Saccharomyces cerevisiae S288C: one gene and its partner. Changing the gene in region 1 together with any one later gene gives a genetic interaction. Each region holds a gene or a part of one and is shown in the gene's direction. Other genes may lie near its edges. The genes, in order: VSB1 and SUL1.

Evidence for each region.
Region 2: mutations in VSB1 (region 1) and SUL1 are lethal when combined (synthetic lethality), as found in Saccharomyces cerevisiae (one large-scale study listed by BioGRID).

The regions. Positions count from the first base shown.
Region 1 is NC_001139.9:733,940-751,324, forward strand, and holds VSB1 (Vsb1p), read left to right. Parts: upstream 1-8,385; coding exon 8,386-11,496; downstream 11,497-17,385. Other genes in the region: YGR122W (uncharacterized protein), read left to right, coding at 1-1,204; PPT1 (protein serine/threonine phosphatase), read right to left, coding at 2,723-4,264; ASN2 (asparagine synthase (glutamine-hydrolyzing) 2), read left to right, coding at 6,005-7,723; YGR126W (uncharacterized protein), read left to right, coding at 11,896-12,588; YGR127W (uncharacterized protein), read left to right, coding at 12,859-13,797; UTP8 (Utp8p), read right to left, coding at 14,011-16,152; SYF2 (Syf2p), read left to right, coding at 16,461-17,108. UniProt on the Saccharomyces cerevisiae protein: Amino acid transporter involved in vacuolar uptake of basic amino acids for storage during nitrogen replete condititions. May function as an amino acid/proton antiporter.
Region 2 is NC_001134.8:781,239-798,021, forward strand, and holds SUL1 (sulfate permease), read left to right. Parts: upstream 1-7,996; coding exon 7,997-10,576; downstream 10,577-16,783. Other genes in the region: SNF5 (Snf5p), read left to right, coding at 1-1,146; BSD2 (Bsd2p), read left to right, coding at 1,353-2,318; CTP1 (Ctp1p), read right to left, coding at 2,435-3,334; YBR292C (uncharacterized protein), read right to left, coding at 3,464-3,835; VBA2 (Vba2p), read left to right, coding at 5,768-7,192; cation-transporting P-type ATPase PCA1, read left to right, coding at 11,611-15,261; PHO89 (Pho89p), read right to left, coding at 15,560-16,783. UniProt on the Saccharomyces cerevisiae protein: High affinity uptake of sulfate into the cell.

The DNA.
Region 1 (17,385 bases):
TGAGAATGCAATGTCTACAAAGAAACTTCCCTATAAATTATCTGGCAGCAGCAAAATAACAACTTCCATACCTAATGATTTAATCATACTGCGAAATAATTGCATAAATTCACTGAACAGTTCCTCGTCCAAAGCTGACAGCATTACATGTATAGATACGTGGCTAAAATACACAGAGGGTTTGTTAACCCACAGGTACGAAGCTAATAATGACGCCGCTCTCATTGAAGAGGAGATAGCGATTGCGTTAATCAATGTTGCCGTATTTTATCAAGACATCGGTATTGAAACATTGTACAGAGCTTATGAATCTTCACAAGCGTCAAATAACTTATGGACAACAAGCGGGACCTATCTAAAGAGAGGTCTAGGCTTAATCTGCTTTCTTGGAAAGAATTTTCAAATAAACACAGCTAATGATTGCCAAAAGATGCAGGTTCTCAACGTCCTTAATCAGCTATCATTAGAGTTTCAATTGCTGCAACAACTAGGGATTGTCGTTTTAGCACTGTCTAAACTAAGATCAAAAATCAGCAAGGATGCTGTTGCGGACCTTGAGCCTCAAGAATTGGAAGAGCTAGGCAAGTCCAGTGTCTTTTACGCTAAGCTTTGTATTGGATCTTATAGCACTGCTTCGCAATGCCAAGGAGGCCGTATAGTGGACGCATTATTTATGAATTATTTACAGAGTTTGACCTATCTCTTCCTATCAATCAACCAATACAACAATGATGAGTGCGGAATTGCCATTGGGATGCTCCAAGAATCGATCAAAAAACTGTTAAATATAGTACCCAATTCGCAACTAAAAGAGTTGGACATTTTATCCTCAACCGATATTACAAAGAAGAGGGATCTTATAAAGATGTCGTTTAAAAGGAAAATACATGGGTCTACTTTAAAAAACCAACGGATATTTGAGAAGAAGGTGCCATTTTCATCCAAAGCGTACATGATGCCGTTATTGAAATCTTCATTAGACGATTTTGTTATCCCACTAACGATACTGTTAAGGTACAGATACCAGACAACCAATGAGAATTATTCCTTCAAAACGGTTGAAACCGACGTTTCTAAATTGAAGGAGCTTTTCCCCAGGGGAAAATCGTCAGATATTGAAGGCACTGTATGGAGTTTCCAAGATGGACATCTTACATTTGCAGACTCAAATAATGCAACCCACAATTGCGGTAATTATTTTTGAATTGAATCAAACGCCGTTCGAACGTAGAGGTCAATAGTCTATATGAATAATATTTTTAAGGTCTACTCTACTATGAATTTTGCATAAAAATATACACATGTTAGAATAAGGAAACCACTATCTACTAATCACGGCTAACCACTGCAAACAATGGCATTATTTACTAATATAATTATGTGTGTTGGAGTGAGAATCAATTATAGTCTACCGATCTGGTGCTCTTGTCAGCAGTATATTATTTTTGAGAAGAACTTTCCTTTTTTTTTTATGTATACGTAATGATCAGAATTTTTTAATAAAGATGTACTTCAAAAGCTTTTTTTAATATTCATAGTAGAATTTAGTGAATAATTTGATAATTGTTGGGCTTCCATTGTTGGTAAAGGCTATTATATTAGTTTTGGAATAAAAATTCAACTATCGTCTATCAACTAGTAGTCATACTACCAGTATATTATCATATACGGTGTTAGATGGTGACATAGGTTATGAGAAGCTGTCATCGAAGTTAGAGGAAGCTGAAGTGCAAGGATTGATAATGTAATAGGATAATGAAACATATAAAACCGAATGAGAAATAATCGTAATTGTATTACATAGGGACACCAATTCCATTTTGAGGATTCCTATATCCTCGAGGAGAACTTTTAGTATATTTTCTGTACTAATATTATAGCTTTTACCGATAATTGAATCCTAACAGTAATCTCAAAATTCACCAATTTCCCACAACTATCGCAAAATTCACCCATATTCCAATCTTGTGCGCTTCATGGCGATTATTTCATTATGTTTGGTTAATAAAATAAACATAATCTTGCATTAGAGATAGTTAAGTTGTTGTATCTCAAAATGAGATACGTCAGTATGACAATACGTCATCCTAAACGTTCATAAAACACATATGAAACAACCTTATAACAAAACGAACAACATGAGACAAAACCCGTCCTTCCCTAGCTGAACTACCCAAAAGTATAAATGCCTGAACAATTAGTTTAGATCCGAGATTCCGCGCTTCCACCACTTAGTATGATTCATATTTTATATAATATATAAGATAAGTAACATTCCGTGAATTAATCTGATAAACTGTTTTGACAACTGGTTACTTCCCTAAGACTGTTTATATTAGGATTGTCAAGACACTCCGGTATTACTCGAGCCCGTAATTCAACACAAGTGTAATTTCAATAGCTCGCGTGGCGTAATGGCAACGCGTCTGACTTCTAATCAGAAGATTATGGGTTCGACCCCCATCGTGAGTGTTGTTTTTTTAAATAATTTCCTGGCTGAAGGGAATAATGTTGTTCAACAACGAAGATATTTCTTATTTTTCTAAGAGGTATTATGATATGATACATGACAATAAACATTATGAAATTTTTTGTGAAAGATGTATAAATTTATAAAAAAAAAAAAAAAGTTACTTCCTCCACTTCGTTAGCTCATATTAGTTTCTTTTATTCCCAGACTTTCTGCTTTTGATAATAATCTAGCAAAATAGAAAAGGCATGACTATAAACCAAAACCACCATTAGAATAGGCCATTGGTTTTATATCTGGGTGCTCAACAGCTTCGAATGTCTCAATTATTAGATTTTGGTCGTCATTCCTGCCAGCCTGTAAAATACCATGGCCTGGTACAACATGAATAACACCCCCAAGATTACCTTGGCTATCACAATAGTTTGGAGCACTGAAAACTGTCATTAATTTACCCTTCTGCTCGAATTGCACACCACCCATTCTTAACTCGTGAGATCTAAAAATCTTGCGCAATTTGTTGTTTCTTAGAAATCTATCTGTAATGTCGGGTCCAAAAGCATGTCCTAAACCACGCTGAGAAGGACCCATCCCGTTGGCTTCTTGTGGGTCCGCCCATAGAAGTTCCATAAAGGCGCCATCTCTAGGTGGTTGGGCAAATCTATCAATATTCTTGAAATCAGACAAAGTTGCTGAAGGATCACTTGGTAAACCACCATGCATTACAAGGTAATCATTATTAATTAAGGTAGCCAATGGAAGGCTCTCAAAACTTTGTGCAAACATGTTAAATATCCTTTGTGAATATTTGTATTTACACTCATCTTCAAACCCATAGATTTTGTTCATATTATCACTCTCATGATTACCTCTGTTCAAAAAGAAATTATTTGGATGTAATATTTTCAAACAGTAGAATAATAGTGCAACTTCACACGACCAAGAACCACGGTCGACAAAATCACCATTGAATAGATAAGTGTGCTTAGGACCTACTTTACCAAACTTGCGAAATAAATTCAAAACATCATAAAATTGGCCATGCGTATCACCACATACTGATATCTTAACATCAGGAGTAGAGTTATTTTCTAGTTCTACCATAGATGGCTCTTGACGAAATAAGGTATCAGCATGAGAGATAATAGCTGCAACGTACTTTTTTGGTAAATATTTTCCCTTTAGGAAAAGATCGTTAACCATTTTGGAAATAAACTCTTGAGACATGTTCTTGATCTTTGCACCTTTAAAGGCATTCTTATCGTCATACAGCTGTTCAAATTCTAACTTTGGACCTTCATAATTGGCTAAATCTGCATTAGCATCAAATGAACTCAAGTTCAAAGTCTGACACAAACTGATCTTGGCTTCATTTTCTGCGCCTCCGATAGCTTTCCTAAATCTTTCTTCTCTAATGAACCTATCACATGTAAGTAACGCCTTAGTAGCAGCCGGATCATTGGGCTTCGCCTTTAGAAGCACATTCAAATCTTTCCTAGCCTTTTTAAATTCTAGCAGAGCCATGCAGGATAATGCACGTCTATGATAAGCTTTGATATTTTTGGGATCCAGTTTAATGGCTTCATCACAGTCATTTAAAGCGCTTTGAAAGTTATCTACCTTAAAGTGAGCAAATGCTCTGTTCGAAAAATAGATAGACTGTGTAGAATCTAAATCGATCGCCTCTGTATATTTTTCAATGGCCTTTAAAAAATGTTTTTCCTTCACAAAAACATTTCCTTCGTTCTTTCTTTCAAGTGCCTTCGCGCGATCTGCTGCTGTGGGTGTTGACATATTCGAGATATTTGATTATACCAAGGCAAGCGTTATTTCTTGCCTCTAAAATTGTTAAAGTTCTGTGTCAAGCTCTATAAGCTGTTTTCGCCAATTTTCTTACCTCATCTGTGAAATTTTTCAGTTTCCCGCCGTCGTTTTTTTCCCTGGTTTAGCGTTTTAACGGAAAAAGAAATACATACATACAATGATTGAAAAAATATTTTCATAAAGAAGAAAATGAGAAGGAACTTTTGAGGACTAGAAGTGTTCCTGATAATTGTCTCAGCCAGAATTTTCAGTGGCCAAGGTACGAACAAGAAACTGCTAAAAGGAAAAAAAATACTCAGAATAACAGAAGATGACAGACAGTATTGTGGAACCCCAACAATTATCTCAAAATTTACCTATTTCTTAAGTATAAACAGTACACTGCATCAGTGGTATTAGATTTGTCATGGTGTAAAATTTTATGATAAAAAAATACAACATGGCGGGCGTAAAATAAAATACATATTCGTAATCCTGGAATATTACGCCAACTACAACCAATAACTTATGATTATATTACCAGAATATTATCATGTATGGCTCTCAAAATATGACATAAATGGTTTCTATTAAAAGCATCATCAATTCAATGAAGCTGAAATTTCAAGGATTGGTGATGTAATAGAACAATGAGCGGCGATATCATAGAACGAAAAAAGAAGTAATCGTCATTTTTTGTAGCACTCTTATTTCCTTTTTTAGAGTTCTAATCCTCAAGGTGAAACCGTAACATATGCATATACTTAACGATACCGCCTTCTTTGAAAATTAGAAGCCTTATATCTATTTCGAACGCACATATGTTGTCATACACAATGCGACACATGAAAATACTACTCTTTACACCTGTATTATCAAACTATTAATCAGTGACTTCCGAAAAAAATAGGTCTCTTGGCCCAGTTGGTTAAGGCACCGTGCTAATAACGCGGGGATCAGCGGTTCGATCCCGCTAGAGACCATTTACTTTTTAGAATGCAAATATAAGATCCCGATAAATCATAGAACCACCACTTACTTATTCACTTATGTGGTCCTTCCTGCTGTGGGCAGAGAGCGATTTGCACGTACAAAGCGATCAAATTACGAACAAAACAATACATAAGAGGTTTGGACACGTTCTTAAGGCTAACTCCACATTGCGATAACAAGATTAAAGTGAGCTCCTGCTCATTCCTAATTGGAACTCATCATGCCTCCCATCAAGGTGGAGCCTGGATTTTACTAAAGAAACCGTTCGAACGGCTCTGTATTTACTAAGAGGGGGATATATCAAATCGTGGAAAACATGAGAGAACAGTCTCGTTGCGTGCAACAGCCGCTATCCTGCTGCTCTCTGCATAACTGGACCTTGCGTATTGGGTTCATTCTTTTGGCTTTGTGAAACGATTCACAAAGCCATACGTCCGTAGTATGGACCCTGCAGGAATGGTCTACATTTTCTATCTACTAGTAAAGCTTTATTCACATATGGGTGCCGCACGGCGCGGGTTTTTGCAAATTTTCTTAGCATTGACTCATGGCAAGATTTCTCCAGAAAATCAGTAAAGCCTCATCCAGCCTCTCTTCTTGAAAAAATTATGACTTTGAATCGCATATTTCAAAGATTTGCCACTTGCTTAGTTTCATTTATTCTAATTTAACTTTTATACTATTTTTTTTGCTTCCCAGTTAAGCTCACCAAAACACAAATACTCACTACAATACAATATGTGTGGTATCTTTGCAGCCTTCAAGCATGAAGATATTCACAACTTCAAACCAAAAGCTCTACAACTATCTAAAAAAATCAGACACCGTGGCCCAGATTGGTCAGGAAATGCCGTTATGAATTCCACCATTTTCGTTCACGAGAGGTTGGCTATTGTTGGTTTAGACTCCGGTGCCCAGCCAATCACTTCAGCTGATGGCGAATATATGCTTGGCGTTAATGGTGAGATCTACAACCACATCCAACTAAGGGAGATGTGCTCTGATTACAAGTTTCAAACTTTCAGTGACTGTGAACCCATCATACCGTTATATTTGGAACATGATATCGATGCTCCAAAATATCTGGACGGTATGTTCGCATTTTGTCTGTATGATTCCAAGAAAGACCGTATTGTCGCTGCAAGAGACCCTATCGGTGTTGTCACTTTATACATGGGGCGTTCTTCTCAGTCTCCAGAGACCGTTTATTTTGCCTCCGAATTAAAATGTCTAACTGACGTTTGTGACAGTATCATTTCGTTCCCTCCTGGTCATGTCTACGATTCTGAAACGGACAAGATTACTCGTTACTTTACCCCAGACTGGTTGGATGAAAAGCGTATCCCATCCACCCCAGTTGACTACCATGCTATCAGACACAGTTTAGAAAAGGCCGTTAGAAAGAGGCTAATGGCTGAAGTTCCATACGGTGTTCTTCTATCCGGTGGGCTGGACTCTTCTTTGATTGCTGCGATTGCTGCTCGTGAAACGGAAAAAGCTAATGCTGATGCTAACGAAGACAACAATGTTGACGAGAAGCAACTTGCAGGTATCGATGACCAAGGCCATCTACACACATCCGGTTGGTCTCGTTTGCATTCGTTTGCGATTGGTCTACCAAATGCACCTGATTTACAAGCGGCTAGAAAAGTCGCCAAATTCATTGGTTCTATCCACCATGAACACACTTTTACATTACAAGAAGGTTTGGATGCTTTGGACGACGTGATCTACCATTTGGAAACTTACGACGTTACCACTATCAGAGCTTCTACACCAATGTTCTTACTATCTAGAAAGATTAAGGCCCAAGGTGTCAAAATGGTTCTTTCTGGTGAAGGCTCGGACGAAATATTCGGTGGCTATCTATATTTCGCACAAGCACCTTCTGCTGCAGAATTTCACACCGAATCTGTGCAACGTGTCAAGAACTTGCATTTGGCAGATTGTTTGAGAGCTAATAAGTCCACGATGGCTTGGGGTCTAGAAGCTCGTGTTCCCTTCTTAGACAAAGACTTTTTGCAGCTATGTATGAACATTGATCCAAATGAAAAGATGATCAAGCCAAAGGAAGGACGTATCGAAAAATACATTTTAAGAAAGGCATTCGACACTACAGATGAACCAGATGTTAAGCCATACCTACCTGAAGAAATCTTATGGAGACAAAAGGAACAATTTTCCGATGGTGTTGGCTACTCATGGATTGACGGCCTAAGAGACACTGCTGAAAGGGCCATTTCTGACGCCATGTTTGCCAATCCAAAGGCTGATTGGGGCGACGATATTCCAACCACCAAAGAAGCTTACTGGTACAGGCTGAAGTTTGATGCTTGGTTTCCTCAAAAGACTGCGGCAGACACTGTCATGAGATGGATTCCAAAGGCCGATTGGGGTTGTGCCGAAGATCCTTCAGGTAGATACGCCAAAATACACGAAAAGCACGTCAGTGCTTAATACGAGCGCAATCGTATTCTTATAATTGACGAGTGAACCAAGAAATGCGGTGATACAAACGGATATTAATCTATATAGATATATGTATATAATAAAAGTTTTCAATCTGCTGACCCCTTAGGTTACTTATCTATAGGATTCGAATTACGATATGAAACCCTTTCGGTAGATATCACATGGAATACTGCAGCCGATTGATTAGTTAATTTCTTATCTCGCTTTTTTTCTCTTTATCTATCTATCTATCTATTTATCTATCTATCCTTATGCTGCAAAATGAAAAATTCCCTAGGAAGTTCGCGCTATCAAGGTTCTTTTTCCCACGTATCGGTCCCTGAGTGGATCCCAAAAAATGTGTGGGACTATGACTATATATATAACAGTCACAGTTGAATCATATTAATGTTCTATTTCTTGAGGTGATTTCAAATTGTGGCTCCAACAAGTAATCTCGGCAAGCTATCCCTTTTTAAATAATATTTTGCATTCTTTTTCTTTTTTTTTTTTTTTTTTTTCCATCTCACAGCCCTTCTTTATTTTTTCAATAAGGTAACAGAGTTGATAAGGAACCAGATAACAATCAAAAAGAATCGTTTCATTTCAGAGCTACCACCGGTCTATAAGCAAGACAGTTTAAAATCTCAAAAATTTAATTTAGAAATATGGGAAGGACTATTAGGAGACGCCGGAGTAATTCGTCGCTTTCGGAGGCCATATCAGTTTCTTTAGGAATAAATCAAGACTCATCTGTGAACAAGATGCATAGAGCGAGTGTTAGCGCAATGTCTCCTCCATTATGCCGTTCATACATGAGCGGATTTTTTACTGGTGGAAACTCACCTATGATCAATAATTTGTCGGATTCAAAACTTCCCATCTCGAACAAACAACATCCTAAAGTGATACATGGATCAGAAAATTTGCATAGGCAGACAGCTCAACTATCCAATGAATTTTGCTCCTCTTCTGTGGAAGAAAATTCTCCCACAATTAAGGATTACATGGACATTATAGGCAATGGTGATAGAAAAGATGATCAATCTATGCGTACTATAGAAGAGAATATTGATGAAGAATATTCAGATGAGTACTCCAGATTGCTACTTAGCCCAGCATCGTCTAACGTGGACGATGACCGAAATCGAGGACTACAGAATAGTTCACTACCGGAATTAGAAGATGGTTACGCGGGCGGATATCAGTCACTTCGTCCCTCCCATAATTTAAGGTTTAGGCCAAGAAACTTGTGGCATATGTGTACGTCATTTCCTTCCAAATTTGCACATTATCTGCCCGCAGCAGTGTTAGGTTTGCTTTTGAACATTTTAGATGCCTTATCTTATGGTATGATCATTTTTCCAATCACAGAGCCAGTTTTTTCTCATTTAGGGCCCACTGGTATATCCATGTTTTATATTTCCACCATAATATCACAAGCCGTGTACTCCGGAGGCTGGTCGAGTTTTCCTTCCGGGATTGGGAGTGAAATGATTGAAATTACTCCGTTTTATCATACAATGGCATTAGCTATAAAAGAGGCATTAGCAGGTAATGATGACGAAATCATAACGACAACGATATTTTGTTATGTGATAAGTTCGATGCTCACAGGTGTCGTTTTCTATGCATTGGGTAAACTACGACTAGGAAAGATAGTGGGATTTTTTCCACGACACATATTGATTGGCTGTATTGGAGGTGTTGGTTATTTCTTGATAATTACAGGAATTGAAGTCACAACGAGGGTGGCGAAATTTGAATATTCATGGCCTTTTTTTTCAGGGCTGTTTACGGATTATGACACATTAGCGAAATGGTTATTACCTGTACTATTGACTGTAGTTTTAATCGGCACTCAACGCTACTTTAAGAACTCACTCGTTTTGCCAAGTTTTTACATCTTGACGTTAGTTTTGTTTCATTTTATTGTTGCGATCATTCCAACATTATCCTTGGATGCTTTGAGACAAGCTGGATGGATTTTTCCTATTGCCAACTCAGATAGTAAATGGTATGACCATTATAGATTATTTAATGTCCATAAAGTTCATTGGTCACTAGTTTTGCAACAAATACCAACGATGATGGCATTGACATTTTTTGGTATCCTACATGTTCCTATAAATGTTCCTGCGTTGGCTATGTCACTACAAATGGATAAGTATGATGTTGACAGAGAATTGATTGCACATGGTTATTCCAACTTTTTTAGTGGATTATTAGGTTCTGTCCAAAATTACTTGGTATATACCAACAGTGTTCTGTTTATTAGGGCGGGCGCTGATTCGCCATTCGCTGGGTTCCTTTTAATAGCTTTGACTATCTGTATTATGATCATTGGACCAGTCATAATATCATTCATTCCAATCTGTATAGTGGGCTCTCTAATTTTCCTACTAGGCTACGAGTTATTAGTGGAAGCGTTGGTCGATACATGGAATAAATTGAATAGATTCGAATATTTGACTGTTGTCATTATTGTTTTCACGATGGGTATCTTTGATTTTGTCCTAGGTATCATCGTTGGCATTTTAATTGCATGTTTTTCGTTTTTGGTGGATAGTACGAAATTACAAACCATTAACGGTGAATATAATGGGAACGTCGCAAGAAGTACAGTATATCGTGATTACGTTCAAACAAAATTTTTGGATGGAATTGGTGAACAAATATATGTTTTAAAGCTCCAAAACCTTCTGTTTTTCGGAACAATCATATCTATTGAAGAGAAAATTGAAAGATTGCTGCAAATAAGTAACAAAGATGCAACAAAACGCAGAATAAAGTATTTAATATTGGACTTTAAAAATATTAATGCCGACAATATTGACTATTCTGCGGCAGAAGGTTTCAATAGAATTAAAAGATTCACGGAAACCAAAAGAATCAAACTAATCATATCTTCAATCAAAGAAAGGGACCGTATTTACAACGCCTTCAATAATGTGGGATTACTAAACGATGTGGAATTATTTGCTGATTTAAACAGTGCGTTGGAATGGTGTGAAAACGAATTCCTTTTTCAATATAAACAATTAAGAAAAAAGGCGAAAGAAAGATTGGAAGAAGGAAAGCAAAATAATGTCGTATCCGCAGTAATTGCAGCCACTAAAAACAAAAAAATTGATACAATAGGAAATGGTTTAAACAGGGGAAGCAATGGAGACACAGCGAGAAACTTAATGTCACTACCAACCAATACTCCTCGTAATTACCAAATACTTTCTGTAGCACAGAATGTATTTGTAAACGACGAACAAGCAGTGAAGAATTTCAAAAAGGAGTACAAAGATGATGAACCTGTCCTGCCTATATTGTTATTTGCATTAAAGCAGTACCGACCCGATATAATATCTGAAGTTCAAAAAGTAAGAGAAAAGGAAATCAAGTTTTGGGCACAACTCTGCCCCTACTTCACCAGGCGCAGATTAGCAAGTCAATCACATTTACTACATGCAGACAACATTTTTTTCCTTGTGGAAACAGGTATGTTGAAGGCAACATATGAACTACCACAAGGAACCTTGTACGAGATTTTTTCAAATGGCACATGCTTCGGAAAAATCATTGCGCCAGGGAATGCTATGCCTAGAGAACAAAAGCTCACCATCGAAACTGAAACTGATTCCGTATTATGGGTTATAGACTCTAGCTCGTTGAACAAATTGAAAGAAGACAATCTAGCATTGTACGTGGAGGTTGCATTAATGGTCATGTGTATCAAGGACACCAGATTCAAAGAATTACTAGGTTACACACTTGTTAGCGCATGAGAGCGTACACGTATATTTATTTAATTTCTTTTATTGCCGGCGTATTGCAAGTAATTTACACCAGTACTAAATAAAAGCAGGATGCTCCTGCATCTGTATAAGTGATGCCGTTGTAGGATTTTTACCATCTCGACTATAAACTTTTTGTACTTGAGTCTTCACTTCCGGAATTTTACTGCGCGATTTTCTTTGATAGGGCCCCTATCGTAGACGAAAAGTGATAATTCCCATCGATGAGCAACTACATACCTCACTTGACTTAATTGCTCTCCTAAAGAAAAAAAATACCGTTACTTTTTTCATTAATATACTACCACAACAATTCACAACGGGTAGTTGTACGGTTAGTTTATATCCGCATTAACAAATCAAAGTCATAACAACGTATCAACGTAGACTATGCCTGTCCCATCTGTTACTGTCACTACCGATAATGAATATGAAGACATATCGTCCTTTTCTTCTATTGACTCTTACAAACCGGAGCCCTTTACTGGGTTCAAAGATTCTGAAGCTCCAGAACAGCCTCTTTTAAAAAACGATACCATTGTTGGAAAGGGGCAACTGGAAGATGATAGTAATGTAGATGATCAACACCGTCATTCAGATGTGCATTCTCATCACAGTTCTAGTACTTTAAAAAGGCCAACTTCAAATTCGATAGAAAAGATGGTTACCCACAATGCTTTAGAGGGCAACTCAGAAACAGTTGATTCCTTAAAAGAAGATGGTTTAAATTTGAACAAGAAAGCTCTTCCGGATATTACCGCCCCAGTAACAAACTCAGCTCACGATGCTGCATTTCCAGAAGAGTATCGTTTAGAAACTGAAACCGGGTTGGTCAAATTGAAGACGCTTGAAAGTTTGAAGAGGGAGGACTCTCGCGTATCCTCAACTAAAAAAGAGCATATTAACGACCATACAGATATGCATTCGACACGATCCAAGGTTACTACAAATTCTCAAGGTTCTTCTCTAGAACCAAACAAGTTGAACATGGCAGTAGAGAAGAATAAGAAGAGGATCGAAAAATATCAAAAACATAAATCAGAAAAGGGGATCAAGGGGTTTTTTCATAGAATTTTCGATTAAGTGGCATAGCAACATTTAGTTCGCAATGCGTTTACTTCAGAATCATTCTTTTTTTTTTTTTTTTTTTTTTTTTGCCTCACATTATATTCTTGGCATCTGCCTAGCTTTCGACTTTTTCGTTCAATTCCTAAAGCGCTAAAAAAATAGTCTCCCCCTGAAAGTGGAGTAGGATAGTAGTATATGAAGTGAGGCAGAAAAGGAAAGAAACGCTTGCATTTATTAACACACCTGTGGCTAAAGTATTAAAAACCAAAAACTAACGAACAAATAATGTGCATTTTAATGGCCACAAGGGCACATCCTGACTATGAACTCATCTTAATATCTAACAGAGACGAATTCTTGGCAAGAAAAACACATGCTACATGCTGGCATAACAATGATTTTATCCTTTCACCCTACGATCTGGCCAAAACCTCAGCAGAAAAACAAATATTTGGCACTTGGTCTGGCATAAATAAAGAAGGAAAATTAGCCACTATTCTTAATTTAAAACTTGACAATGAGCAAAATAATACGAAATCAAGATCCCGTGGTCTGTTACCATTTATATTTTTGTCGATCCATAAAGCAGATTTTGAAGATTGGGATAATTACAAAAAGTTTGAAGGTCACTATGATGGGTTGAAGTCCACAGGTGATTTTAATTTTTTTTACGGCGACGTTATCAAAAAGCAATATAAAGTTATTGATTCTCTAGGAAGAACTTTTGATGTGTTGAGTTCTACCTGTAGGAAAGATCTTGATTCTTACATGGTTGTTTCTAATGGTAAATTTTATGACAGCTCCAGTATACCAGGGCAGGCTTGGGAAAAAGTAAAGGTAGCACGTGATAGTTTAGAAAATCTAGTTTTAGAGAATATTGAATCAGATGAGGAGAAAATAATATCAAGTTGCTTTCAACTCGCCTCGAAGTCTTCCCTTCCAAGCACTATTTCAAACCCAGATGTCTTGCAGATGGTAGATCCAAATGTAACCATGAATACCATATACGTACCACCTTTACGGAGGCCTCCCAGGGATGACTTAGGTGCCTCAATTCCTGATGGTGATTACTACGGAACTCGCTCTCAAATAGTTTTACTCGTGAGTAAGGATTCAACGAGAGTTACCTTTATAGAAAGGGTCCTTTATAGCTCAGATGAAGACGTGCGCAAGTATTCGGTAACCTCACCTAAGGAGGAAAAAAGGTTTAAATTCAAATTGTAAAAATCACAATCTTCCATTTTATTTCAAACTAGCTTTAAATTCCATCTTCTTCCCCTCAGAACATTCCGGTATCTCTTGTTGGACACATCTAATGTATATGATGTTTTCAAATTCTAAATGCCTGTTAGTTTATCAGTAACCACAGTAGACGCTATATATATTAGTTCCTTTTCTATATAGGTATTATACAATACAATCAAATTCATTGCATACTCAAATGTCCAAGTATTCCATGGTGTAAGTGGGTAAGGCTCGCTTCTGAGAAGTTCCGTTATCAAAGGTTGAGCTAGCAAACCCATGCTGAAAACCTTTCGTATCAATCAAATTCCACAATTCGGTATTTCTTTCAGCAATCTCAACTTGTTTGTCAATATATAAGGTTAAGTTCTCCAATAGAGCACCTTCTAATGAAAATAGCCCGATAGAATCTAGCACAAGGGACAAGAGTTGAAATAGCTGCGTGCTTTGGCTAGGGTTGAAGCATTCTGGTGAGCTGTCTTCACCACCGCTTGTTATGAACTCAATGAAATTTTGAACGTCTAATTTACTTAGTTTCTTCATTTCTTGTTTAATAGAGTCTCTGGTGAAATCCTGCAAAATCCTAAATGAGATATCAAGTAATAGTTCCCTGTTTCTGATAGAAAACAATTCTTCAAGTAGTTCATTTAATGGCAAGTTTGGGCATGTTACAATTGCTTGTTTAAATAATCTAGGTTGGTCTCTTAGTAAGGATAGCAAGTTGCGTGTACGACTCAATGGAAACAATGGGTGTGTCAATAAAAACGTTAAAGTTTTTGGATAATCATTTCCGCTAAACTTTCCGAAAATTAGATCTAAAACTTTATTCAAAAAGCCAGGATCAGAAATATATCTATCTTTTTCAGTATAATGTTCTTCTTTGATTTTTAGTTCTTTGAAAAATATGTCATCAAATGATGTAATGTCATTATCTTGAAGGGCTGAAAGCTTTTCAATAACTTCATTACAGTGGAGGACTGGAACGCTTGAATCCCCGCTGACGTCGTTACATTTCACTCTCTTGTCATTTATGTCTTTATCATCAAATAGCGGCTTTAAAATAACTGAGCTATCATTATTTCCAACTTGAAAACTCTTGCCTAATGAGTCCTTCAACGTATTAGTTCCAACATCAATATTAATTATTTCTAAGGAAGACGTTGGGTTTGGTCCATTTTTCGTTGAAATACCAATTGCTATTGTTTTTGAATTATGCGACTTTTCTGAATTGATCACTGCAGATTTTAATAGTTGGAATGTTTTCACGTGAGTTAATTCTCTTTGGCTTAAAGTAGAACAATGCAGTAAGTCTAGTAGATAAATGACGTTGTTTACGGTCAGTAGAACTCTGTTTACTGAAACAGGTTGGAAAGAGATTAAGTCATCTCCAGGACTGAGTTTATCCACCATCGGAAATTCAATAACTTGTTGCAATTGGCAATGTGGTAAAGAGTAAATGTATATTTTCCCCTGGTTCAATTTGTAAAGTTTTCCAAATTGATAACAAAGCTTTGAATTTTCAAAAGAAAATCCTTCGATGATAGTAGATGATAATTCTTTTATGGGCGAACTTTCTCCACTGCCACAATCTGTTAGCTCGAGCAATTTATAGCAGACTTTATCATCCTGTAATGGACAGAGAACAAAAACATATTCAGTTCCATTTTCAGTGAACCATTTAGCATATTTTAAGTTATCATAAGATATATCAAATGAATGCAAAAGTGTTAACTTAAAATCAAAAATTTCAATCAACCCGTTCTGTAAAATTGCAATTACTAAGCTGTTCTTGGTGTCAATTTTAATACTCATGACTTTGGCTTTCGCCTTGATCTTATACTGAGATAAAAATTCGTCTGAACCCGTGTATGCTTTATTGTCAATATCACTCTCACTCAGATGGTCATTTGAGGTATCAGTGGTATCTTCCAGTGCCTTAGTGATAACATTTAGCGTATAATTACCCTTATTTACCATTAAACCAAAGGCCCAAATTTCAACATTTCTTTTTTTTTGGGTGTTGATAGTCTTCTCGTTGTTGGCTTCATCATCGGTACTGGCTTCTATATTTCCGTCAATGTTCGCTTGACCTTTCTCAGCATTGCATGCCGTGATAATATTTGTAGAGGGTATTGGGTAATCGAATGTTAACTTTGGTGTAGGATTAATAATATATTGAGATATAGATGACCCGGAAATACCTAACGTTATGTTATTTGTAGATTCATTAAAGGTGCCATCTGCGACTTGAACGTAATCTGCTTGTAAAGAAAAATTGCTCAATGAAGCAATTTTTGGGAGAGTTGCTAGTCTAAATGGTTGAGACAGGGATGGCATTTTGAATCTTTACTATCCTCCGGAATGATTTGCTGTTCAAGGAGCGCTAGGTGTGACATATAATATTACAAATTTAACAGTGACCTCATCTCATCAAAGTTTTCAAATTTTTCAGGCATCTGCTACAGCATAATGAAAAAATTTGAAAAATACAGACATTTCCGTGTAGAATGACAAAAAAGCTAGAATATTACTATATTTTCCTTAAAAGAGCAATATTTGCGATGAGGGGCTCTCAATGACAATGTTTGACTTCTCTATTGAACTGTAAGCGAAGCAAAACCATATCTTGTCAAAGTATTCGAAGAATGGATTTTTACAAATTAGACGAGAAGCTGAAGGAGTTGAAAAGGAAAAGAGTAGATGTATCTATAAAGAGTAGGAAGTTGGCTGACAGAGAGATTCAGGAAGTAAGCGCAAATCGAAAACCAAGAGTATACAGTATGGAAGACGTAAATGATGCAGATGAATCAGTAGGAGATACAGAAAGTCCTGAAAAAGAGAAAGCATTTCATTACACTGTCCAAGAATATGATGCGTGGGAACGTAGGCATCCTCAAGGGAAGACTGGGCAAAGCCAAAGAGGTGGAATTTCCTATGATCAACTTGCAAAATTGAGTTATGAGAAGACCTTGCGGAATCTCGCTACGCAAACACAGAATTCGAGCAAACAGGATAGTTCCGCCGATGAAGAAGACAATAAAAACGTACCCAAGAAGGGTAGAATCGGCAAGGTACAGAAGGACACTAAGACGGGTAAGATAACAATTGCAGATGACGACAAGCTAGTTAATAAGTTGGCCGTTTCTTTGCAATCTGAGTCGAAAAAAAGATACGAAGCAAGAAAAAGACAAATGCAAAATGCAAAAACACTGTATGGGGTTGAAAGCTTCATTAATGACAAAAATAAACAATTCAATGAAAAATTGAGCAGGGAATCAAAAGGATCAGAATAAGCTTCTCTTTTATTTAGAATATACCGATATAACCAAAGGAAAGTTTTAATACCCTGGATTTTTCATCGACCGTCACGTGACGAGCTGAGGTTAAATGCCCGCAAAAGTGCTTCAGAAGAGAGTCCATCTTACTCGGTTATTTGAGCACGAAACACTAGAGAATAACTAACTGGTTGATAAATTGTTGATTGAGTAAATATTGGTACATAAAACGGTTACAAAGAGAGGTAGATTAGGAAGGGTGAAAATAATCAAAGGATAACTTGATGATACTCGA
Region 2 (16,783 bases), on another chromosome or scaffold:
CAAGGAAATCCATATATAGAGTTGAATCAGGACCGTCTAGGCGGTGATGACTTGAGAATTAGAATCAAGCTGGATATTGTCGTGGGACAAAACCAGTTAATCGATCAATTTGAGTGGGACATCTCTAATAGTGATAACTGTCCAGAAGAGTTTGCAGAGTCCATGTGTCAAGAATTAGAACTACCAGGTGAGTTTGTGACTGCCATTGCTCACTCCATAAGAGAGCAAGTTCATATGTATCATAAATCACTGGCACTGTTAGGTTACAATTTTGATGGATCAGCGATAGAAGATGATGACATTAGAAGCAGAATGCTCCCAACGATTACTCTTGATGATGTTTATAGGCCTGCAGCGGAAAGCAAAATTTTTACTCCAAACCTATTACAGATTTCAGCTGCAGAGTTAGAGAGATTGGATAAAGATAAGGACAGAGACACAAGAAGGAAAAGAAGACAAGGTAGATCTAATAGACGTGGTATGCTCGCATTGTCCGGCACATCTGCAAGTAATACATCTATGAACGGCGTTCACAACACAGTAGCAGCAGGAAATGCTTCATCGTTGCCACCAGGAGAGATTTTACTGCCAGATATTGCAGATATTCCAAGAACTTTCAGGACTCCAGTACCTAGCACTTTAATGCCTGGTGGTGTTGACGTAGGCCCTTCTGTGGAATCGTACGAATTGAGAAACACAACCACTTATAAAAGCAGGCCAGATAGACCTAAGCCAGTTTCACCTCCTTGTTATATTATTGACCATATTCCGGGTCATTCGCTACTACTTTCTATTAAACTGCCTGGGAAAGTTAATACAAAAGAAGAGTTCGCAGCAGCGCCCAATGACACAAGTAGTGGCACCAATGCAATGCTTCCGAGTCCAGAATCGCTGAAAACTAAGCTGAATAGTAACATTCGCGCTGGTGTGACGATACCTTCAATCCCAAACCCGATTGCCAATCACACTGTTACTAATTCACCCAATCCCACACTGCAGCCAGTAATCCCAGGTGGGGCAGCTAGTAAATCGGTACCTACACCTAGTCTTCCTATAGCACCTCCAGTAGCACCACATGATAGCGAAGCGACATTGTTGACTAATAGCAATAATGGTAGCAGTAACAATAACACACAGAATACATAGAAAATATATACACATATATAAAATATACCGGAGATGTAAATAACCGTGGAAGAATTTGTATTATCATCGTGTTATACGATGCGGAGTCCCTTTGCGCCTACTTTTTTTAGAAGAATAGTACATAACCTTTATAAAAATCTTCCAATTTAGATACATAAAAAGAGCATGAGAATAACAAGAACACGTAGTCTAGGAAACTAAGCGCTATGCCAGAGCAAGAACTACTTATAGGGCAAGAAATGAATACACTTCATGCAGGTTCATCTACTGATGGCATAAATGTCGGAAACGCAGGACGAACTAGAGACACACAAACTGGCGTAGAAGGGGAAACGGAAATAGGGTCTGACGAGGAAGATAGCATAGAGGACGAGGGAAGCAGCAGTGGAGGAAATAGTACGACAGAAAGACTAGTACCACACCAGCTGAGGGAACAAGCAGCCAGACATATAGGAAAAATAGGAAGACATTTTAATATTCTTGATAGACTTTTTAAGAAACGTACACAACAGTCTTCGGATATACAACAAGGTGCCATGTTTGATGGTGTCTTTAGCAATTTAAGCGCAAAACCAGATACCACAGAGACTGAAGGTAATAACGAACAAGACATACCACCTACATACGACGAAGCTGCTGCTGATATGGCCCCCTCGTATTATGGAATGGATTTGAACAATTCAGATATCTACTACGACGAAATATGCATTGAGGGGCTTCCTGTAGGAAATATAGCAAATTTATTATGGAATATCATCGTAAGCACGAGTTTTCAGTTCATTGGATTTTTAATAACCTACATTTTACACACATCTCACGCAGCAAAGCAAGGTTCAAGGTTTGGATTAGGGTTAACGTTCATTGGATATGGTTATTCAATGATTCCCAATGATGTTACTTCAAAAGTCGGCAAAAATAAAAGCTTAAATAGAATGGAATTAGAGGATCCAAATGAATTCGATGATGTTCGTCTAAATTCACAATCAACGACACAAGATAAATTTGAATCACATTTGAATCACGGTCTGGATGAAGAAAAACAAAACATACCATGGTTGGCTGTTTTTGTGGCATTTCTTGGGCTATTTATCACCCTGAAGAGTATATACGACTACATTCAAGTCAAAAAATTGGAAAAGAAATACCTCAACCAAAGTCAAAATCAAGCATAAGCCATCTTCTTCATTATGATAAAAAGAGATATATAACTTTTTTAAGTGATCGGCTGGTAAATAGACTTATAACGAGTAGAAAACATTAGATGATATATTGTACACAATAATACATTTCAGGCTAGCATAACTAAGACCTTTTCATAGATAGTGAAAACAATACCACCACTCAAGACCAATCTCCCAAGTCTAGGCGTAGCACCTTTCCAAAACGTCTTTAACCCTTCTTCTTTGAAAATGGTTGCAAAACAATTCATTGTAGAGGAGTATTTGGTGGAATCCAAACTTTGCATTCTTGTTTTCACAGTATCAAGGGGCATGGTGGAATAGACCGTCACAATACCACTAAATGCACCCACTAAGAAGGTTAACCCGGATGATAAAGGTTTGTCTTTTGGCGAATCCGTATAATCTTGGATCAAGGTCTTAATCTTATTGTAACAACCCAATCTAACGGCTTGGTTTGCGGCCTGTCTCATGGAAACTGGCAAAACACCACGATAAAGACCAGAAAATCCTTTATCACGGACTAATGATGAATAGTTTCGTACTACACCGCGCCCATTATTATGGTATTTTGGTGTAGCAGATTGTTTATCATCGATCAAAGCAGTTTTGATTGCTTCAAAAGGAGTCACTGCGGCAACACTTTCTAATAGTCCCGCACCTAACCCAGCTATCACCCCTCTTGTACCACTTAGTTCTCCAGTTTCACTATCTCTTAGCATGTCTTTAATGGTATCAAAGCCAAGAAATCTAATACCCGCCTTAGCGGTGTTTCCAATAATAAATGCGGGACATCCGACATAAATGGAACCAATGCCCTGAGTTTTTGCAGTTTTATATATCAATACCAGAGGATTTCTTGATGCCTTGGAGGCCTTATCAATCAGCTGCAGCCTTGTTTTGGCAAACTCAAAAGGATATGTTATACATGCTTCAGCAGCACCGGCTAGGGACCCTGCCAGAAACGAGTGCAATGGATCTACGTCACTTTTGGTAGCTTTACTGGACATCGGTAAAATGCTAATTTATAATTCAAGCTCTACTTTGGAGTTCTTTCATTGTGACATCAAAATGTTTTTAATTTTACGTTGGCTTCGACATTTTACGTTTTATATATCACGCTAAAGTGAGACTAAATTTCATTGTTCTTCTTTTTTTTTTTTTTCACTTCTAATAATTGAAAATTCCGCAGGAATTCTTCCATATTCTTGACTCTTCAGTAAGACTAACTTAATGGAAATAGAGAAAATAGTACATATTTGAAAAAAAAAAAAGAGGTGTTGAAATGATTTGAGAATATTAAATAGCTTACAAGCGTTAGCCGAGTTCCCAGACAGCAGAGTTTCTACCCTGTGCTCTTTGTTGGCGGCTTTATTGATGAGGAATATAAAAATGTAATTAGGCAAACCTACGCGCGAAAATATAAGAAGCAAAGATATAAAGTGTAGTATATTTGAATATTTACATGAACGAAACGGCGACGTATAATGGTAATCGGCTGGGAACTTCATTAAAAAGTCAAGATGTAAGTTACCTCTTAGTAAGAAGAGTTATTGCAGCAAGCTTAGTATCAATAGGGAGACTCTGTCATGTAAAAAAATAAATGAACACAATCATAACCTCTTCGACTGGGCTATTCGTTGTATAGTATATGTGGTGGAGTGTAATGAATGAAGTTCTCAGAAGCTTGAAAGCATATCAAAATCACGTATTGACTATGACAGATTCTTGTTTCTTGCTCCATTACTCCATTCGAGTTTTTCACAACTTTTGTCGTTCGTCTATAACATCTCTTTTTTTTCCCACTCTTCTAAAATATTGGCATAGCTGACATGTTTGGAACCGAATAAGCAATTACAATACGACAGTAAAATAAAAGCATGTTATTGCTGCTTGTAGAGAATTCCTGCATATGTAACTTTCTCATTCCGACGGGATAAGTTCATAAACTAATCAGCGATGAGTTGCGGAAAATTCGTCAATAGAATATTTTCCAGTCAGTGGTGGTCCCAGTGGCCTGCAACCTAATGGCTATAGTTCTGGATAATAAATTGGGCAAAGGTCAGTATAAAGAATGAATGTATCAGGCCGTAATTGAAGCTTTCAAGTCCAGGTGAAAGGCCAAATCGACAATTAGCGAAAACAGGATTTTTTTACCAACTTGAAATAGTGACTGCTGTCTTTTTGCCTGATTAAGTGGTTATATATTTCAACTAATATCACAACAAAAGGCCTCTCAAAATTTGTGGCGAAGTGTACATCCTGGGTGCTCAGGTAAGCGTCGTCTTCGTATTTTTTTTTTTTCAACAGTAGTTTGGAAATAATGCTCTTCGAGGAATGCGAGCGGAAATGTTATCCACTGTATAAGTCGATATTTTAAGGGACGCTAAATATATCATCATAGCTCGTCTATTGGTGGCTTCTCCAATTGCACTTTCAATGCATTATGGTAAAGTGTGGTGATAAGGCATAGTGATGTTTACAGAGGTCTGTTGGTTTCTCTGGGCTCGCTCATCATCCGACCAGTAACCTTGTGGGGTTTCACATATTGTTCTATGCATTATTATCACGGATTTGTGCCTGCAAATGCTGTTTCTTTGGCTTTTCTTTCTAAAAAAATTATGATATATATATTGTTCCTCCTTGTTTAACAGGCTTTACGGTATTGTGGATCCTAGTAATAGGCGTACTTTTCTTCATTTACATATTTGAACAATATATGTCTCACAAGTAGTTGACCGAATAGCGTTACGTAAGGGTCAAAAACCTTTTCAGAATTGTATATATGACATTTTTAGAACATGATATAATAAACAGAATATAAAAGAAAATAGAGACGACGTACCATGGCATGAAGAATTGTACTGATATCACATTGTGTTGAGCACTGATAGATTAATACTATATTTCTGCTAGGTGCGGGGGGTAACATGTCCTAATGTGTGGCAACCACATTCTAAGGCTCGGTAAGTGATGCGATATATGTGCATGTGTGGCTTTCTTCCTAATTTGCTATTAGATGATTGTGTGCAAATCCACAGAAATATACAATTTCGAGAATATATATACTAGTTATCGTTATAAGAACACACAGTATTGGCCAATTCTTGCCTCTGAATGGTACAAAATGCTTTAAAATGTAGTAAATGAAACATTAATTCCAAATCAGATTTTTTTTCGCAATGCTTAAATCTAGTAAACACAAAGTACTACCGAAAAGCAAGGATGGAAACTATGGCAGTATTGAAGAGACTGAAATTCCTTCTGTCGACTACAGTGAAGACTTAGATGAGGACTTGGACAAAGGCGAAGATATAGCGCTTTCAAGAATCCCAAATTGATGGATTATTGAAGCTACTCTTTTTTCTAATGTCTTTTTGTCCGGTTTTGACGGAACCGTTACAGCTTCGACGTACCAAACGATTGGTAACGAATTTAATCAGATGAGTATTTCAAATTGGATCACCACTGCGTATTTAATTACATCAACATCTTTTCAACCTCTTTATGGGTCATTTTCTGATGCACTTGGTCGAAGAAACTGCCTTTTCTTTGCTAATGGGGCTTTTACCATTGGATGTCTAGCCTGTGGTTTCTCGAAAAACATCTACATGCTTAGTTTTATGAGAGCATTGACAGGCATAGGAGGTGGTGGCTTGATCACACTTTCTACAATCGTAAATTCAGACGTTATTCCAAGTTCGAAAAGAGGAATTTTTCAAGCGTTTCAGAATTTACTTTTGGGATTTGGTGCCATATGTGGAGCGTCTTTCGGTGGCACAATAGCGTCGAGCATTGGTTGGAGGTGGTGTTTTCTCATCCAAGTACCCATATCTGTGATTAGTTCCATATTAATGAATTATTATGTACCTAATCAGAAAGAATATAATCGTCAAAATTCTAGCATATTCCAAAATCCCGGAAAAATACTCAGGGACATAGATGTTATGGGCTCAATTCTTATTATAACTGGTCTCACACTACAGCTTCTTTACCTGAGCCTGGGGTGTTCTACTTCTAAATTATCATGGACCAGCCCTTCTGTGCTACTGCTATTAGTTGGGAGTGTAATAATCCTCTTACTGTTCATATTGCACGAAAGGAAAACAAGTGCTAGAGCGATTATTCCTATGGAGCTGGTCAATTCCTCCTACAGTGTCGTTGTACTTTCGATAAGTATACTTGTTGGTTTTGCCAGCTACGCGTATCTTTTTACTTTACCATTATTCTTTCAGATTGTACTTGGAGATTCCACTGCAAAAGCAGGATTACGTCTTACGATTCCTTCCCTATTTACTCCGGTAGGCAGTCTCATAACAGGATTTTCCATGAGCAAGTACAACTGTCTAAGATTATTACTCTACATTGGTATTTCTTTGATGTTTTTGGGTAACTTTTTATTCCTGTTTATTGAAAAAACTTCTCCGAACTGGTTGATTGGTCTATTTTTGATACCTGCAAATCTAGGACAAGGTATCACTTTTCCTACGACCTTGTTTACTTTCATATTTATGTTCTCTAAGAGTGACCAAGCTACTGCGACATCAACTTTATATTTATTCCGTAGTATTGGATCTGTATGGGGTGTTGCAATTTCAGCTGGCGTCATTCAATTATCTTTCGCAGGTTTATTGCGTAGTAATTTGAAAGGTCTACTGGATGAAAACAAGATAAAGAAACTTATTGTTCAGCTTAGTGCAAACTCCTCATATATTGGATCTTTACATGGCGAAGTTAAAAACACAGTCATAAAGAGTTTTGATGAGGCAACAAAGAGGGCTCATCTAATGTCTACATTACTCTCTTCATTGGCCCTGATACTCTGCATCCTTAAAGACAATCTGGCGAAACCTAAAACAAGAAGATAAACAATATATACCTATGCCCTTGACCGACTCAATTGATACATTAACAGTATTGAAACTAGATATTCTACTTGACACTAAACTTTTTTTGTATTTCGTGGAATTGCAACGTTTCTAATTGACCGACAGTGCTGAACTGTGAGCGAATGCAACTATCTCTATAGTTTTTTTATCCTCTGTAAACTTTAACTAAATACATACTACTTTCATAATCTGTGAATAAGATGTGGCTGTGATAACCTAAAATAGTCACAAACCAATGAAAAAAGGCTTCAGAAAACTTGCTGTAAAGTCCCCCCACTTTTTTGTGTTACCGCCACCTCGAGTGCACTTTTTTTAATAAAGATCTCGTGTAATTGTCCAAATCTGACTTTTTCTTATAGTCTCGCTGGAACCACAGTGCGGCTTTGCAATTTTGCAAATCGGAATTTGAGTCACAGATCCCAGAAAAACTCCACACCTTCCCCACGCAGCAAGCGATAACGAACAAGTTGTCAAATTAGACCCATAATAATTTTGAACACTTCTACCTGTTCATGTCTTTTCTCGAACACTGTCATTTGAAATTATGCACTGTGAAAAAAAGAAACAAAGACCAAAAGAATAATATAAATAGTGAAGTAAAATGTGTTGTAATGCACATGGATCTTGTACTGCTCAAACTTAATATTTCTATTGTAGAAAAATTTTCGATTTAAAATTGTGAAACCGATTATATAAAAGTATATTAGCTGACATTAACGTCTCAAAACCAGGTCAATAGCTTTAAAAATAAAAATAAATCCCTGCAGAATACTCGGAAAGAATATGTCACGTAAGAGCTCGACTGAATATGTGCATAATCAGGAGGATGCTGATATCGAAGTATTTGAATCAGAATACCGCACATATAGGGAATCTGAGGCGGCAGAAAACAGAGACGGACTTCACAATGGTGATGAGGAAAATTGGAAGGTTAATAGTAGTAAGCAGAAATTTGGGGTAACGAAAAATGAGCTATCAGATGTCCTGTACGATTCCATTCCAGCGTATGAAGAGAGCACAGTCACTTTGAAGGAGTACTATGATCATTCTATCAAAAACAATCTAACTGCGAAATCGGCAGGAAGTTACCTCGTATCTCTTTTTCCTATTATAAAATGGTTTCCTCATTATAACTTTACGTGGGGCTATGCTGATTTAGTGGCAGGAATTACAGTTGGCTGCGTACTCGTGCCCCAATCTATGTCATACGCACAAATCGCTAGTTTATCTCCTGAATATGGTTTGTATTCCTCCTTTATTGGTGCGTTTATATATTCTTTGTTTGCCACATCGAAAGATGTTTGTATTGGTCCGGTCGCTGTAATGTCACTACAAACTGCCAAAGTCATTGCTGAAGTTCTAAAAAAATATCCCGAAGACCAGACAGAAGTTACAGCTCCTATCATTGCAACTACCCTTTGTTTGCTTTGTGGGATTGTCGCCACTGGGTTGGGTATACTGCGTTTAGGCTTTTTAGTGGAACTTATTTCTCTAAATGCTGTTGCTGGCTTCATGACCGGTTCCGCATTTAACATCATCTGGGGTCAAATTCCGGCTCTCATGGGATACAACTCATTAGTGAATACCAGAGAAGCAACGTATAAGGTTGTAATTAACACTCTGAAACATTTACCAAACACAAAGTTAGACGCCGTTTTTGGCTTGATTCCGTTGGTAATCCTCTATGTATGGAAATGGTGGTGTGGTACATTTGGTATAACTTTGGCAGATAGATATTATCGAAATCAACCAAAGGTAGCAAATAGACTGAAATCCTTCTATTTCTATGCACAAGCTATGAGAAATGCCGTCGTCATAGTAGTTTTTACTGCCATATCGTGGAGCATAACAAGAAACAAATCTTCAAAAGACCGTCCAATCAGTATTCTGGGTACAGTTCCCTCGGGCTTAAATGAGGTGGGAGTTATGAAAATCCCAGACGGTCTGCTATCTAATATGAGTTCAGAAATACCTGCTTCAATTATCGTTCTGGTGTTAGAACACATCGCTATTTCAAAATCCTTTGGTAGAATTAACGACTACAAGGTTGTCCCTGACCAAGAACTTATTGCGATTGGTGTGACAAATTTGATAGGGACATTTTTTCACTCATATCCAGCAACTGGGTCATTTTCCAGATCTGCTTTGAAAGCAAAATGTAACGTGCGCACTCCGTTTTCTGGGGTATTCACTGGCGGTTGCGTTCTATTAGCACTTTATTGTTTAACTGACGCCTTCTTTTTCATTCCTAAAGCGACACTATCGGCGGTTATTATTCATGCTGTTTCTGATTTGCTGACTTCTTACAAAACCACCTGGACCTTCTGGAAGACCAACCCGTTAGATTGTATCTCATTTATCGTTACAGTGTTCATCACAGTATTTTCATCCATTGAAAATGGTATATATTTTGCAATGTGTTGGTCATGTGCAATGTTACTATTGAAACAGGCTTTCCCTGCTGGTAAATTCCTTGGTCGTGTTGAGGTGGCAGAAGTATTGAACCCAACAGTACAAGAGGATATTGATGCTGTGATATCATCTAATGAATTACCTAATGAACTGAATAAACAGGTTAAGTCTACTGTTGAGGTTTTACCAGCCCCAGAGTATAAGTTTAGCGTAAAGTGGGTTCCGTTCGATCATGGATACTCAAGAGAATTGAATATCAATACCACAGTTCGGCCTCCTCCACCAGGTGTCATAGTCTATCGTTTGGGTGATAGCTTTACTTACGTGAACTGCTCAAGGCATTATGACATTATATTTGATCGTATTAAGGAAGAAACAAGGCGAGGCCAACTTATAACCTTAAGGAAAAAGTCAGACCGTCCATGGAATGATCCTGGTGAATGGAAAATGCCAGATTCTTTGAAATCACTATTTAAATTTAAACGTCATTCAGCAACAACGAATAGTGACCTACCGATATCGAATGGAAGCAGTAACGGAGAAACATATGAAAAGCCGCTACTGAAAGTCGTCTGCCTGGATTTTTCCCAAGTTGCTCAAGTGGATTCAACCGCTGTTCAAAGCCTGGTTGATCTGAGAAAAGCTGTGAATAGGTATGCGGATAGACAAGTCGAATTCCATTTTGCCGGAATTATATCTCCATGGATCAAAAGAAGTCTTTTGAGTGTTAAATTCGGAACTACAAATGAGGAATATAGTGACGACTCTATTATCGCTGGCCATTCTAGTTTTCACGTTGCAAAAGTTTTGAAGGATGATGTGGATTATACTGATGAAGACAGCCGTATAAGCACATCTTACAGTAACTATGAAACATTATGTGCTGCAACTGGGACAAATTTACCGTTTTTTCATATCGATATACCCGATTTTTCTAAATGGGACGTTTAGTGTAGTAGATAGTAAGTACTTTAATTACCCCCCCTGTTTTTAGTTATACATGAAAAGATAATTGTGTTATTAATGTAGATTACCATCAAATAGCTGGAATATTTATTATTTTGAGTATGTTGAATGGCGAAAGTAAAAATAAATTTTATAATTTCCTGAAAGCATTAGTACACGAAAAGGGCCGTTTTCAGTAGTTTAAGGCGCTGAAAAGACATGGTCTAGAAGTTAACTTGAGCTTGAGCCTATTTTCTACAAATGTCCTTTGAAAATACAAAAATAAAAATAAAAATGCATTTAAGTATTAAGCTTATGCTAGATAGAGCAACATTTTCCTAATTTTTTTTGAATTTATTTCATGGTTTTTAGGCGGAAAGAGTTTGGACGGCTTGTCTCTCCTAATGTGGAAGAAATTATGTTTTGTTATGAATCTGAAAAGAAAAATACTATTTTAGCAATACAATGAATTTTAAAAAGTTACCCTGTACTTTAATCCTTCAATTAAAACACTTCTTAAAATAGTATATTTTGAAGATCATCGATATATATACAGAGGCAGTTTTGCAAGGCAGATAACGTTATTGAGTTGTATGTAGGCTGTGTGATTTTAATCTCATAAATCAATAATGGAATAATTTTCTTATTGTTAATATCGATTTATATTTTCCAACAATACAATGAAGTAAGTACTATTTCTATTTGGAAGGAATTCATTCCCCATTTTAGCTCCTCGAGCGGATGAATCCATCACTGTTTTGAAGAAAACCAACAAAGTGTCAAATAGTTGTCTTTTTGAAATTGGTTCTGAAGAGTTTTCGGAAAATGATCTGATAACAGGCCTTTCTAAAAATATAAGGTTGAACGAATGTATGGGTTAGGTAATCAAAATTTAGGCGCCAACAAGGAATTTTTCTTTAAAATCGCATGAAAAGCCTACACTTGGCATAAATAAGGTGCAATTATAAATATAAAAGCAAGATATTTTCGAGATGCTTCCAGGATTTATACAATGAAAGAGCCCAAAGCTGCTGATAACGATGAAGCCGGAAAAACTCTTCTCCGGTTTAGGTACCAGCGATGGCGAGTATGGAGTGGTAAATAGCGAGAACATATCAATAGATGCTATGCAAGATAATAGAGGCGAGTGTCATCGTAGATCCATAGAAATGCATGCTAATGACAATCTGGGATTGGTCTCCCAGCGAGACTGTACCAATCGGCCCAAAATTACTCCTCAGGAATGTTTGAGTGAGACTGAGCAGATATGCCATCATGGCGAGAATAGGACTAAGGCTGGGTTAGATGTAGACGATGCTGAAACCGGTGGTGATCACACCAATGAATCCCGTGTAGATGAATGTTGTGCTGAGAAAGTGAACGACACTGAGACTGGCTTGGATGTGGACAGCTGTTGCGGCGATGCTCAAACAGGTGGTGACCACACCAATGAATCCTGTGTTGATGGATGCTGCGTTAGAGATTCTTCAGTGATGGTCGAGGAAGTTACAGGCAGCTGCGAAGCTGTATCTTCTAAAGAACAATTGCTGACCAGCTTTGAAGTTGTTCCAAGCAAATCTGAAGGTCTGCAATCTATTCATGATATTAGAGAGACAACTCGCTGCAATACCAATTCCAACCAACACACAGGGAAGGGTAGGCTTTGCATCGAATCAAGTGACTCTACACTCAAGAAAAGAAGTTGTAAAGTTAGCAGACAGAAAATTGAGGTTTCCAGTAAGCCTGAGTGCTGCAACATTTCATGTGTTGAGCGGATTGCATCTCGTAGCTGTGAAAAGAGGACTTTTAAAGGTAGCACCAATGTTGGAATTTCTGGGAGTAGCTCTACCGACAGTTTAAGCGAGAAGTTCTTCAGCGAACAGTACTCTAGAATGTACAATCGTTACTCCTCAATTTTGAAAAATTTAGGTTGTATCTGTAACTATTTGCGTACTTTGGGAAAAGAATCTTGTTGTCTCCCAAAGGTGCGTTTTTGTAGCGGGGAGGGTGCTTCTAAAAAGACAAAATACTCCTACCGCAACAGTTCTGGATGTTTAACAAAGAAAAAGACCCATGGAGACAAAGAAAGGTTGAGCAATGACAATGGCCATGCTGATTTTGTTTGTTCTAAAAGTTGTTGCACTAAAATGAAGGATTGTGCTGTTACCTCAACTATTTCTGGACACTCTTCGAGTGAAATTTCAAGAATCGTATCAATGGAACCAATTGAAAATCATCTTAATCTTGAGGCAGGATCTACCGGTACCGAGCACATTGTTCTTAGTGTTTCAGGAATGTCCTGTACTGGTTGTGAATCAAAACTTAAGAAATCATTTGGCGCGCTCAAATGTGTTCACGGTTTGAAGACCAGTTTAATATTATCGCAAGCTGAATTTAATCTGGATCTTGCTCAGGGATCTGTCAAGGATGTTATCAAGCACTTGAGCAAAACTACTGAATTCAAGTACGAACAGATTTCAAATCATGGTTCAACTATAGATGTTGTTGTTCCTTATGCAGCAAAAGATTTTATTAATGAGGAATGGCCACAAGGTGTCACAGAGCTGAAAATTGTTGAGAGAAATATCATTCGTATTTACTTTGACCCAAAGGTTATAGGTGCCAGAGATCTTGTCAATGAAGGATGGAGCGTGCCTGTTAGTATTGCTCCATTCAGTTGTCATCCAACCATTGAAGTGGGAAGGAAGCATTTAGTTCGTGTAGGCTGCACGACCGCTTTATCCATAATATTGACGATCCCGATTCTCGTGATGGCTTGGGCTCCACAGCTTCGTGAAAAAATTTCCACTATCTCCGCGTCAATGGTGCTAGCAACTATTATTCAATTTGTTATTGCAGGACCGTTTTACTTAAATGCCTTGAAGAGTTTGATATTTTCCAGGCTCATTGAAATGGATCTACTAATAGTTTTAAGCACTAGCGCTGCCTACATATTTTCGATTGTATCATTTGGATATTTCGTTGTTGGACGCCCGTTATCTACGGAGCAGTTTTTTGAAACCAGCTCTTTGCTTGTAACTCTCATCATGGTTGGTCGCTTTGTGAGTGAACTAGCTAGACATAGGGCTGTAAAGTCAATATCAGTACGTTCCTTACAGGCCTCTTCTGCTATTCTGGTGGATAAAACTGGTAAAGAGACGGAAATTAATATTAGACTTCTCCAATATGGCGATATTTTTAAGGTTTTACCTGATTCAAGAATCCCAACTGATGGAACAGTCATTTCTGGGTCTTCTGAAGTCGACGAAGCGTTAATCACAGGTGAATCTATGCCAGTCCCGAAAAAGTGTCAATCAATTGTTGTTGCAGGATCGGTGAATGGCACTGGTACTTTGTTTGTGAAGCTGAGCAAGCTTCCAGGGAACAATACTATTAGTACCATAGCCACGATGGTTGATGAAGCAAAATTAACTAAGCCAAAGATCCAAAATATCGCTGATAAAATTGCAAGTTATTTCGTGCCAACTATCATTGGAATCACTGTCGTCACCTTTTGCGTTTGGATAGCGGTTGGAATCCGTGTGGAAAAGCAATCCCGCTCCGATGCCGTAATTCAGGCCATTATATATGCCATTACGGTACTTATCGTTTCGTGTCCCTGCGTGATTGGACTTGCCGTTCCTATCGTATTTGTTATTGCAAGTGGCGTCGCTGCGAAAAGAGGGGTAATCTTCAAATCAGCAGAGAGTATAGAAGTTGCTCACAACACTTCGCATGTTGTCTTCGATAAAACGGGTACCCTAACTGAAGGAAAACTTACTGTAGTACATGAAACTGTTAGGGGTGATCGTCATAATTCTCAATCTTTGTTGCTTGGATTAACTGAAGGAATAAAACACCCAGTTTCCATGGCAATAGCATCCTATCTCAAAGAAAAAGGTGTTTCTGCTCAAAATGTTTCTAATACAAAAGCTGTGACTGGTAAGCGGGTAGAAGGAACATCATACTCTGGTTTGAAGTTACAAGGAGGGAACTGTCGTTGGCTTGGTCATAACAATGATCCTGACGTTCGAAAAGCCCTTGAACAAGGATATTCTGTATTCTGTTTTAGTGTTAATGGTTCAGTCACTGCAGTTTATGCATTAGAGGACTCTTTACGGGCAGATGCTGTCTCCACTATTAACTTGTTACGCCAAAGAGGGATTTCACTACACATTTTATCAGGGGATGACGATGGAGCCGTTCGTTCTATGGCAGCCCGTCTTGGAATTGAAAGCTCCAATATTCGTTCTCACGCAACGCCTGCAGAAAAGAGTGAATATATTAAGGATATTGTCGAAGGAAGAAATTGCGATAGTTCTTCGCAGTCAAAAAGACCGGTTGTTGTTTTTTGCGGTGACGGAACAAACGACGCAATTGGTTTGACTCAAGCAACGATTGGAGTTCATATCAATGAGGGAAGTGAGGTTGCCAAGCTAGCTGCTGATGTAGTTATGTTAAAGCCAAAGCTCAACAATATTTTGACTATGATAACTGTAAGTCAAAAGGCCATGTTTAGGGTCAAATTGAATTTCTTATGGAGTTTTACTTACAACTTATTTGCTATCCTTTTGGCGGCTGGTGCCTTTGTTGACTTTCATATTCCACCAGAGTATGCGGGTTTAGGGGAACTAGTTAGTATCCTCCCTGTAATTTTTGTAGCTATACTTCTGCGTTATGCAAAGATTTAGTCCAGGTACTGCTGCTATTTGATTGTAGATTTTCTTTTTTCTTTTCTTTTTTTTTTTTGACGACTCTGTAATACTCTATTTATTATTTAGTTTAGTTTTCTATTTAATATGATGGAATTCATAAAAAAAAAAAATACACATAGCCATGCCAGGTAATTGCAGATCAACTGATAAATTAGAAAAAAATTAATGCATCTTTAAGGTTTTAAATTAGAAATGTTTTAACTTTAAAGTCACTGAGCAATAAAAGTTCTACCTAATGTTGTAAAACTGTATTCATAACCGAAACACATTATGATTATGTCATTTGGTATTCCACACCAAAGCGAGGAGCATTCAAAATGATACCATTTATGATACCGGCAATCAAACCAGCAATTGGTAAAGTTAAAAACCAACCAGAATAACACCAGGCTACCATTCTCCAATTAACTGATTTGAGATCCTTGTTACATAAACCAACAGCGACAATACCACCAACGGCGATCTGGGTTGTTGAGGTAGGAATACCTAATTGGGTAGCCATGACAGTAGTAATAGCAACAGCTAGTTCAATTGAAAAGCCTCTTGATGGCGACTGCAAAATCATCTTATTACCTAGATTTTTGATAATATTGTAACCATAAGTCCAGCAACCAATAACTAAGGCAACACCACCATAAGCCAGAACCCACACGGGAACTTCGGACTTTGCCCCAATAGTGTTAGTTTTCCAGATCACATACACAGCAGACAAAGGACCAGTAGCGTTGGCAACGTCATTAGCTCCATGAGCAAAAGACATAGTGGCTGCAGTAATGGCTTGGAGAACCGAATAGATATATTCTACTCTATTGTCGTAAAATTTAGATCTTTCGTACATTCCTTTCAGGTCACCAGATAACATATCTCTATCATTAACTTGAGCATGAATGACGTCTTGAGTCCAACCATGAGAGATTACTAACCAGAACAATAAGGGCCATTTTTTAGGTCCTTGCTTTAATAATGACCACCAATATTGTTTCGTTGACAACTTTGTTTCTGGTTCAGTTTCAGTTCTAACCAGGTCCACTTCCTGGATGTCTTCTTTGTTTTTGACGGAATCATTAGAATTACTCGCTGCCTTATTTTCTTCGTCTTCAACAGAAACAGTTGTTCCAAGATTTCTTCTGCCCTCGTAATAATCGATTGTTAATTGATGGCCTTCTGGCATTGGTGGGATATCATCAGTGGACTTAAAGTAAAAAGATGGACCTCTGAAAATATCAATCAACTTTAGTGTCCAATCTTGGTCCAAAACTTTTCTTCTGTAGAATGGGTAGAAAAAGATGAAGTAAACGATCGAAGCAATTGCACCTGTGAGAACAATAGATACGGCAGTTTCAGTTTCAGATAAATCGTCCAAGTGTAGGTTTGGAGAACCCTTCCAGACAATCAACATTGTTAAGATAGAGAAAGTGGCGAATACTAAAACACCAACCAGCAGTAAAGCATTCTTAATCGATCTTTCCAAAGACTTAACTTCAAGGACAGAAAACCT